2 linked regions of the Saccharomyces cerevisiae S288C genome follow. Changing the gene in region 2 together with the main gene of any one other region gives a genetic interaction. Each region holds a gene or a part of one and is shown on either strand. Other genes may lie near its edges.

The links. Genes that interact genetically often act in the same process or in processes that back each other up.
Region 1: mutations in NBP35 (region 2) and ULS1 together harm fitness more than expected from each alone (negative genetic interaction), as found in Saccharomyces cerevisiae (one large-scale study listed by BioGRID).

Annotation. Positions count from the first base shown.
Region 1 is NC_001147.6:690,590-697,892, reverse strand, and holds ULS1 (translocase ULS1), read right to left. Parts: upstream 5,419-7,303; coding exon 559-5,418; downstream 1-558. Other genes in the region: SPR1 (glucan 1,3-beta-glucosidase), read right to left, coding at 5,861-7,198. UniProt on the Saccharomyces cerevisiae protein: ATP-dependent helicase involved mating type switching and in silencing interference through its interaction with the silencing regulator SIR4. Cooperates with UBC4 and UBC5 to mediate ubiquitination of SUMO conjugates.
Region 2 is NC_001139.9:341,500-344,717, forward strand, and holds NBP35 (Fe-S cluster-binding ATPase), read right to left. Parts: upstream 1,544-3,218; coding exon 557-1,543; downstream 1-556. Other genes in the region: nucleocytoplasmic transporter NUP145, read left to right, coding at 1-360; LIF1 (Lif1p), read left to right, coding at 1,820-3,085. UniProt on the Saccharomyces cerevisiae protein: Component of the cytosolic iron-sulfur (Fe/S) protein assembly (CIA) machinery. Required for maturation of extramitochondrial Fe-S proteins.

The DNA.
Region 1 (7,303 bases), on a different chromosome or scaffold from region 2:
GTTTTATACGCTTCTCTTTTATAGGAATATAAGATCAGCTTTGATTATTAATTAATACTGTCATTTAATTGCCAGTTATCATCAAACGGGATATTTTCATCGGTTCATTAATGTATGGTAGCTGTTGCGAGCGTATAATTATACTGGCGTTTGAAGATTACATATATGATGAGAAACAAAAATCAAATTTAGTAACAACTGTTAACGATGCAATAATGAGTTAAAGCAATTAACAGGAGGGGGAAGCAATTATGTTATTCGTGGCATTGTTGATAATCTTTTGTGGATTTCCAAATCCAGGAGACGAGCTTCTTATATTGTATGTTACTAATGGTATTTTCTTTTTCAAAAAGTAATTCAAACGATCATATCAAATTTCGCATATTTCTTATACTTAAAGTAGGGCCGATTTACGGCTTATTTTCTGTTCCATTAAATGCCAAGCTCGTAAGTGCCAACGAGTGAAGTTACTTAAGCCTACAAACTAGAAGCTTAGCCACCAATTATCAACATATACATATGTGTATCGCAATAATGCTTCAAAATTCACCAAGTTCTTCAAAGAGCGTTTAAACCAAATAAAAATCCTAACTCCCGACGCCCTAAACTATTCACTTCCTTTATCTTGCCTGGGTCCATGGCAGAATCGACCATTTCCTTCTTTCTCTTCTGTAATTCAGAAATACGATCCTCAACAGAGTCCTTTATAAACAATTTATGCACCTGGACTTTTTTTGTTTGACTAATTCTATAGCAACGGTCTTGAGCTTGTTCTTCGACGTAAGGATTCCAAAATGGATCAACTATAACTACATGGTTCGCACATGTCAATGTTAGTCCTGAGTTACCGGCTTTCATGGAAATCAGAAGTATCCTTTTCTCAGGGTCACGATAAAATTCGTTGATAACATCTGATCTTCTCTGAGCGTTCATTGATCCAATATATTTCAAGTAGGGAAAATTCAGTTTATTTTTGAGAAAATGTTCGAGAATCTCAAAAAATGTTGTAAACTGGGAAAAAATAATAATTTTTTCGGTTGCTGATTCATCAAAAACTCTTTGAATAACCTGTATACATTGCTCTATCTTCGTAGATGGTTCTAAACTCTCAAAATTTGGCACATATACATTTTTTTGCTGTATTTTTTGTTTCTCCATTTCACTTAAATACTCTGCATGCAAATCTTCCTCAGTAAATCCCTGGTTTATTACCTGGTCGTATAACTTGTGCGAAACAATATCTTTCTCGTTTGTCAAACGTTGACAATCTTTGCATGGGATAGCAAATGCCCCACCTTTGGTTTTCTTGGCCTGAGGTAGCATGGATGACTCTTCGATGAAGGGCTCGATACAAGTGTCGCAAATCAAATGACCACAACCTGTCAGAACGGACATCGCTTCTGGTTCTAATTGTTCCATGCACCAGAAACATGTCATAGAATTCATTGAAGTAATAACCTGAGCCTGCGCTTCTCCGCTCATGTGAGTGATTTTATAGTAGAGCCTGAGCCAGTCATCTTCAAAGCTTTTGCCGTTAGCTACCTTTGTACCTTCCGCTTTTTTTTCTCCCATCACAACTAATTCTGAATGACAACAAGCCTGCCTTAAGCGAAGTAGTAATGTGAGAACGCTAGAGTAGCTCCCCCTCGTAGAATTGTTCAACAATTTCTTAGCGAGTGCTTGATTTTTTGATTCCAAAGCTGTGTAAAATTTTAATTCCTCTCCCTTCAGGCGTGATTCATCTACTTCCACAATTTTAGGAGGGAGCTCCAGTAAAGGTTTGCCGTCGATCTTATCAGCCTTAGACCGACGAAGCATAATGGCATTTAGAAGGACTCTAACCTTTCTTAATGCGTTTTTTCTATCCTCGTTATCATATTGATATTGCTTATTTCTCTGAAAAAACCTTCCAATGTCTAATTTAAACCGTTGCTCCTTGTGGTAGGGTGGAATTCTTAGAAATCTTATCAAGGAATAAAGCTCATCCATACTATTTTGAATCGGCGTACCAGACAAGACCCACCTATACATTCCATTTATAGTACAGCACGCTTTAGAAGCCCTTGTATTTTTGTTCTTGATGTTTTGGCCTTCGTCCAGTAAAATTCTGTAAAACGTTGAATCATTGCAGAAAAATGGAGAGTAGTATTCATTTGAGGTTTTCAACCTATTAAGAGCTTGTATATGAGGCACAGCTGGTAGCTGATTTTGTTCACCATCCAGTTTTTTCGGCCAATGTTTCTTAAATTCGTTTGCTAGAGTTTGATAAGATACCAAAACAGCATCATATCTTGCCAAATCCCTCCAGTGCTTAACTTTTCCGTTACCTGATCCTCCAAAAATAAATGTAGTAAATTTTGCGCGTTTTTTTACTTTCGTTTCTAATTCACCTTTCCAAACTCTCAAGACTGAGACTGGTGCGACGATCAAATTGGTTTTACATTTGGATTCCTCTGAGCGATTTGCTAACATCAATGCAATAGCTTGAATCGTTTTACCCAGGCCCATATCGTCAGCAAGCAGACCCCCTTTTTTTGCGGAGTTTTCAACTTGTAACAACCAATGCAGACCCAGCCTCTGGTGTTTTAATAAGTTTACGGTCATATCCTCGGGAGTAAGTGCTTCGCCGTCTATAATGGATTCAGATTGTTTGACATTCTCTAAAAGAGCCCTAATCTGTTCTTGATCTTCTGCTGCATGCATATTAGAGATGTGAAATTCATCTTGCATCGATAGATCATTGGCTGTAGAACTAGTATCTTCGGTATTTTCCACGATGTTCCAGTTTGAAGGAGGTCGTTGATCTGCGTTTACCGGAAATAAATAGCTTTGCTGCAGTAATTCTTCACTTGTTATTGGAATCTTATATCTTCTCAAATTTTCATATAGTCTGTCCATCTTAAGTCCTTGTTGTCTTAGCCCAACAACAGCTTTTCCGACGCCTTCCCTTTTTAAAGGAGTAGGTGGAAATCCGGTGTCAATATCTTTACGAAATTCTTCAATTATATTCAAAAATCGAGTAATCTTTCGTTTAGCATCCTCTGATCTAGTAGACTTTGATATGAGATCGCGTGCAACTTCGATGCTTTTAAAATATTGGGCTCTTCTGTCAGGATTGACAATGGCTGGATTAGAAAACTTGATGCCGTAATCTTGTAATGTTTCAAAAACAATGGGCATCTTTACACCGTTGGTGAACAATATTTGGGCCGATTCATGTGCAACGTGTCTTCTGTTTATATCTATTAAGGATCTTCCGTCTTCAAAAAAGTTTTTATAAGAGACCAAGTTGTCCAAATGTCTATAAAGAATTCTCTTCGTCATTTCTGTCCTGGATGTGTTCTTGGCTAATAAATCTTTTGCAGTATCAATGGACTTAATAAATAAATCTCTTTTGGCGAGAGGTTGCCGTACTATTGGCAATACACTATTGATATCAGTTGTGCGTTGGTCCCCCAGTTTCAAGTCATTCAGTTTCTGCTGGATCTCCCCTGTTAACTGCTTGTAGGTACTGAAGCTTAGGGTTCCTTCTTTTAACATTTGGTCTAGCTTTTCTTTCTCAGCCAGGCATTCGTTTCTTTTATTTACGGTCGCAGAAGCTTTACTATCCCTGGCTGACCGCTCAAGGGCAGCCAAAGATTTCTGCAGGTTTATATTTTTCGAATGCACAAAGGACTTCCATTGTTCGTTATAATTATACATTTTCAAATTGATTGAATCTAGCTTCGATTTTGTCAACTGTCTTTTTTCCTTCAGTTTGTTTAATTGGTTCTCAGCTTCATCAACTAATATCTGCTGAGTTGAGCTGATAGTTCTTCCCCCTCTAGCCATCGATGTCAACAATAACTGCCAATGTTTTTCAGCATCAGAGACCTCCTTTTCTCTTCTACTTAGTTTCCTTCTTAAAATTTCAGAGTTTGTCTTGCAGCAACTGAGAGCATTACGTAGTTCAGACTCTCTAGAATTCAAATCCTTCAATAATTTTTGATGATTTTTTTTTAGAGTATCAAGTGAACTGTTACATTCGTGTTGAGAGGATTGAGTAGCTTGTTCTGTCATGATAGTTCCTTGAAGAACTGACGAACTCGAGGATTGTGCGTCTGTTTCTGATGTAGGAATTGAATTGCTGCCACTTGCTTCTTTTATTACTGAGTTATTCAAGTCAATATTGGGTAGGTCAAGTAAAGATATGACTTCTGGTACACTGCTCCTAAGCGCATCAGCTGTATTTGGTTCAGAAACTTTCAAAGGACTTTCTATATCATTGATACCGGCACCAGATTCGTCCTCATCTGAAAGAATAATAATCGAGCTATTTTTCTGTTCGGAATCATGTGAATTATGTGTTGTGTGGTCCATATTTTTTGAGGGCAATATCGGTCTTTTAAGTATCTTGTTATCTGCAAAATCTCCGCTATGCTTCCTTTTAATCTTACGACCAAAATCGCTAATATCGACAGGTTGTTCACTAAAGTGCTTGAATAGTTCACTTTGTTCTTGCTCAAGTAAGGCAACATTATTTTGAAGTCCTGGAAGACGAACGGTCGTCTTCCCCTCTACTTTGGCCGTCTCGTTTTTAAGGGAACTCTCAACAGAGCTTAGATTGGACGGTAATGCTGGCGTTCGCTTTTCATTTACGATGTTAGGTATAGTGTTTTTGGAGTTATTTTGAGTTTCAGAATCCTGGAAAGCACTAGATTCAATAGGTAAATCACGATAACTTGTTGTTGTGACTCCTTTTATTTGGTCTTTGTTTTCGCTCTTCAAACTGTTATCTTTTGTTTCTGGGTCGCTGAACTGTTGCTGTGACGGTTTGTTATTCAAGTTTAACTTCTCCTCTTGAAAATCCAAATTGCTGTCCTGGCAAGTATTAGGCTCGAAATCATCTTCAACGCCATCGTAGTCTTTGGAGACGTATGAGGAAGAAATGCCACAGATATTTTCCTTCACTTGCTCATCCTGATTTATTCTTTTACCTTCCTCTTTTTGTTTAAAACTATCGGATAACGGCACATCATCGTTTTCATAAAAAAGTTTTATCATCTCTGCGCTTGGGCTGCTCTCTTGTGTTTTCTTCTCATCGTTGGAAGATCCCATCGTTTCTTCCTTCAAGACTTGCTGCTGTTTTACTTCGTTGGAAGATTTTTCATTGTTGAAGGTACTGTCTGTGATTGTCTTGCTCTTTGAAAGAATAGTATCGAAGGTTTCATTATTTGATATGTTCGTCTTGAAAACATGGAATGCTTGACGTGCTGCATCGTCATTAGATTGGGCGACTTCCAAGCCTGCCATTCTTAATTTCCCATTTTCTTTCCTAATGTCTATCTTATCCACACTTGTTGAAGACGAAAAAGAATGGAATATGTCTTCATTATCTGAATCGGCTAGTGTAAGGTCGATGGTGGGTACTGCTGCCATTTGACAGATGTTTAACCTAAAGATATAGTCCAGCGTCTCCTTTCAAGCACTCAAAAGATAGATGTAAAAATCGGTATAGACGCCCTGTCCTGTTCTTTCATAAAACTGCGGAGAGGTTTGTATTTATTTATTGTTTTTCTTCCTCTCATATTCGTTACATAGTCTAAGTAAACTGTCCGGTAATATCGAGAGTGACCCGTGTCTCGTGCTTCTCTTCCGCCTCACGTAATATCAACAGGTAATCATCATGAGCTCCCCATTCATAGTTCAGATAAAAAGTGAAGTAGCGGTTGATGGAAGCACTTTTATTTGCATAATTATAAGATATAAAGTATTTTTTATTTGTATACCTCATCATGTTATATAAAGAGTTTTAGATGGCAATTTTTTCTCCAATAATAATCATCACATTCCCAAGACCTTAAATATATGCCACAAAATTTCAATGACATTGGTTAGGATATTTCCTATCGTTGATAGGTTGCGGAAAAATGTTGAGTTGAATCAATTTTTCAACATCCCATTCGATACTATTCTCTGTCTTGTAACACCACATTATCCATCCACCAGTCATTTCAAAAGCATCTAATTGAGCCTCGATAAACTTTCTAGTGTTCTGTTTTCTCTCTTCGGGCCACAAGGCAATATTCTCGTTGTTTGCACACGTATTTATGTAATGAGATTTTTCATTGTCTTTGGTCCAACTTCCATCATATCTGGCACCTAGACCAACCCCATTTAACCACTTTGTACAATCTGTTAAGGCCGCTGAAAATTCGCCTGCTACGGACCAATGCTTCTCGCTTACGGCATCTTTCCCCCATTGGCAGGCGATTTTGATACGTTCATTCATTTTTCTTGTTAATTCCACCTGCGAGAACACCTGATAATGATGATGGTCAATTATGACGCCATATTCGTTCTTTTCATCATTCAAAAACCCATCCCAATAATGGTAAGGTTGAAAAGCATCATGTATTACAATGATCTGGTTGCTATTAATTTTATTTCTCAAATAGTCATAAGCCGGCTTCAAAAGCAAATTTTTCAATCTTTCCATGTCAATAACTGGACCTAACGGTTCATTGAGCAATTCGATTCCAATAACGGTGTCCAGGTATACGTCTGTTGAGTATTTGCTTAAAATATACGTTAAAGCTTTCATGGTGGCGCTTAAATTTTCATCTTCCAGAAACTTATATGAATCCCTCAACCCTGAGTTATCAAATCCGTTTTGTGAACCAGCGGCTCCATGAAGATCAATCCATACTTTCAAACCATATTTCCTAGCCCAATCGATAGCCCGGTCTAGAAAATATTCCTGCTCGGCGGTAACATAGGGATCATGACTCAACGTTGTAAAGGCCCAATACCCAATAGGAATTCTAACCAAATTGAAGCCTTGAGAAGCAATTTTCGCGAAGTCTTCCTCTTTATAGAACGTCGACCAATGACTATAAAGGCGTTCCTTTGCCTTTTCATAGCCTAATTTTTCACAAAAATGGTATTCATCAACAGGAATACCGTCATCGTTGTACGGATTAGTACGGAAAGTCTCGAATAAAGAAGGTGTAATATACGGCTCCAATACTAGCCACCCACCCAAATTGACTCCATGAATTTTTTCATTGATGGCTTGATTGTTGATGGCAGAGTATATACTATCCTTTTCTTTATAAATAAACTGTATAGAGTCCCTATTTTTTGTGGAAACAGGATTACAGTTTACTAATTTGGTAAAAAGTAGTGTTAGTGTAGTCAGCCCTCTGAACGAAACCATTTACTTCTAAAGTTTATAAAGATTTTATGCGGAGCACCTCAGTCTTTCTTTCGAATCTTTGGATGGTCTGTTCGCAATTGAACAATTAAAAGAGAAGGGTAAAAA
Region 2 (3,218 bases):
ACTTTGAGGGAAATTCTTAACGAATTTCCAGACTCTGAGAGGGACAAATGGAGTGTAAGTATAAACGTATTTGAAGTATATCTAAAGCTTGTGTTGGATAATGTTGAAACGCAGGAGACTATCGATTCATTAATTAGTGGTATGAAGATATTTTATGATCAGTATAAGCACTGTCGTGAAGTGGCCGCATGTTGTAATGTTATGTCCCAAGAGATTGTATCAAAAATATTGGAGAAAAACAATCCTTCAATAGGCGATTCGAAGGCCAAATTGCTTGAGCTCCCCCTAGGGCAGCCAGAAAAGGCATACTTGAGGGGTGAGTTTGCCCAGGATTTAATGAAGTGTACATATAAGATATAAGTTTTTTTATTTTTATTTCTAAAAAAAAGAAAAATAGTAAAACATGGACTGAAGCTAACGCTTTTGGAGTAATTAGTAGCATTATATATGGTAAAAGTGTTCTTCAGTAGGTCTAAGATTTAAAGGTAATGATATTTATATTATAAAACGATTTGACCTCTAATGCACTTCCTTTTATTCTTTTTGATAAAATATACTATACATCCCCCACAGCATCTCGCAGAGCCTCCACAACGTTAAGTACAGCACTCGAAGCTGGGCTGTCAGGATAGTTATCCAGGAAACTTTCACCCATGTCACAACTCTTGCCAATCCTCGGATCTAACGGAACAGACCCCAAAAATTTGATGCCCAATTCCTTACAAAGTGCTTCACCTCCACCTGTGGTAGCCTTGAATATTTGGGACTCTCCTTTGCAATTTGGACATACAAATCCGCTCATATTTTCCACTAGTCCAAGAATATTGATACCAGCCTTCTTACAGAAATCTATCTCTTTCCGTACATCTAATAAAGCTACTTCCTGAGGTGTGGTGACCACAAGGGCACCATCTATGCCAGATTCTCTCATATACTTGTTTATTGAAATGTGCTCATCAGATGTTCCGGGCGGTGTGTCGATTACCAAGTAATCGAGTTTATCCCAATCAACATCCTTTAAAAATTTTTTTATCAATAAATTCTTTTTTGAACCCCTCCATATAATGGCGGAATCGTCTTCTGGAAGCATATATTGAATAGACATGGTGGCTAAATTATCAGTCACATAGACAGGTGTCCAACCGGAGTTCGATTCATGGACGGTTTCTTTAATGCAGCCTAACATATGTGGCAAAGAAGGTCCACATATATCTAAATCCATGGCACCTACTTGTAAATCTTCGTCAGCTGAAAGTGCCCAACTTAGCATTGCGGCAAATGTCGACTTGCCTACGCCACCTTTGCCTGATAAAACCAATATTTTATGTTCTATTCCTGACAAGTTATCTGTGATCAATGGAATATCTGGATCAGGGCCTTTCGGAAGACTTTCACATATTTCTTTATTGGCGCAGCCACCACAAGCATCGGACTTACCTGCCATGTCTGATTCTGGACCAGGACAGTGTTCTGGTTCCGGCTGATTAAGTTCATACTCTGCTGGTAGCACTTCGTCGTTTACATGTGGTAGTATCTCAGTCATTCTTGGATATCACTTATGTATACTGTTGTTCTCAAAAACAGAAAGACTTCACGTTTAGCCTAGCCTACGAGTTGTTGGACAAACATGTTATTTATTATTATATACAAAATATTTCTACGCATTACTAATTACACCATTAATGAATCCGAAAAAGTACCCGGAAGCGTATTTTGAAAAGCCATATTAAAGAATAATAAGATGAACGGCAGTTTTCGACGTGTCAATGCATAGAACTGAGAGAATTGTGCATTGGATGACTTATTTATGTAGGGTGCTATGTCCCAGCTGACGGAGTTCATTAGCTGTATCCCTGTGGTTAATGAAGAACAAAATGAAGAAGATGAGCGTGGCCTCTGTAAGATTCAGATTGAAGATGGCGCTATGTTGGAAACATTAGATGAGAACAGTCTTTCAGGGCTTAGAATAGAGAAAATGTTGGTAAGTGAAGGTACAGGAATTTTTTCCAAAAGCAGTTTTGGAATCAATGATTTGCGAATCTTTACGGGAGAAAATATCGATGAAGAGTCTAAGAAATATGTGTGGTATGAACTACTCAAAATGTTAACTGGTCACAAAGTGTACATTGCATCGTTAGACGAAAAAGTCGTATTCACAAAATGGACGTGCAGAATGCAAGATGATGAGGTATGGAAAGTAGTTATGGAGTTGGAGTCATCGGCGATCATAAGAAAAATCGCTGAACTTACCTTGCATCCAGTCAAAAAGGGAGAGATTGATTTATTTGAAATGGCAGATAAACTCTATAAAGATATCTGTTGTGTTAACGATTCTTACCGGAATATAAAGGAGAGCGATTCTAGCAATAGAAATCGAGTTGAACAGCTGGCTCGGGAAAGGGAGCTATTGGATAAGCTTTTAGAAACACGTGATGAAAGAACCAGAGCAATGATGGTAACCTTGTTGAATGAGAAGAAGAAGAAAATAAGAGAGCTTCATGAGATTCTGCGACAAAATAATATCAAATTGTCTGACGATGATGTTTTAGATTCTGCGCTTATTAATACGGAAGTGCAAAAGCCAATTTCTGAGTTAAACTCTCCAGGAAAAAGAATGAAACGAAGAAAGACGGTAGTAGAGCCTCAAAATTTACAAAAGAAGTTGAAAGACACAAGTCGGAGGAGAGCTAATAGAAAAATATCTAATCAATCCGTGATCAAAATGGAAGACGACGATTTTGATGACTTTCAATTTTTCGGACTTTCTAAAAGGCCAATTATTACTGCTAAAGATAAACTCAGTGAAAAGTACGATGATATTACCTCTTTTGGAGATGACACACAATCAATAAGTTTTGAATCTGATAGTAGCAGTGATGTTCAAAAACATTTAGTGTCTTTAGAAGACAATGGTATTCAAATATCAGCAGGAAGATCGGATGAAGATTACGGAGACATTTCTGGTTCTGAATCTGAGACTGATGCAAGTGCAGGGGAAAAGAAGAGCTCCAACCATAGTGAACAATCCGGTAATGATAGGGAACCTTGCTTGCAGACAGAATCGGAAACGGATATAGAAACATAGCCTATTTATGAATGAATGTAATATATGGCAAAGAGTATTATAGTATCGCATCATTTGAGAGAATACTTTATTTAAATGGCAAAAAATAGTTCTATGTGAGTGATCGAAAACTCAACTACTCAGATTGAAAAGA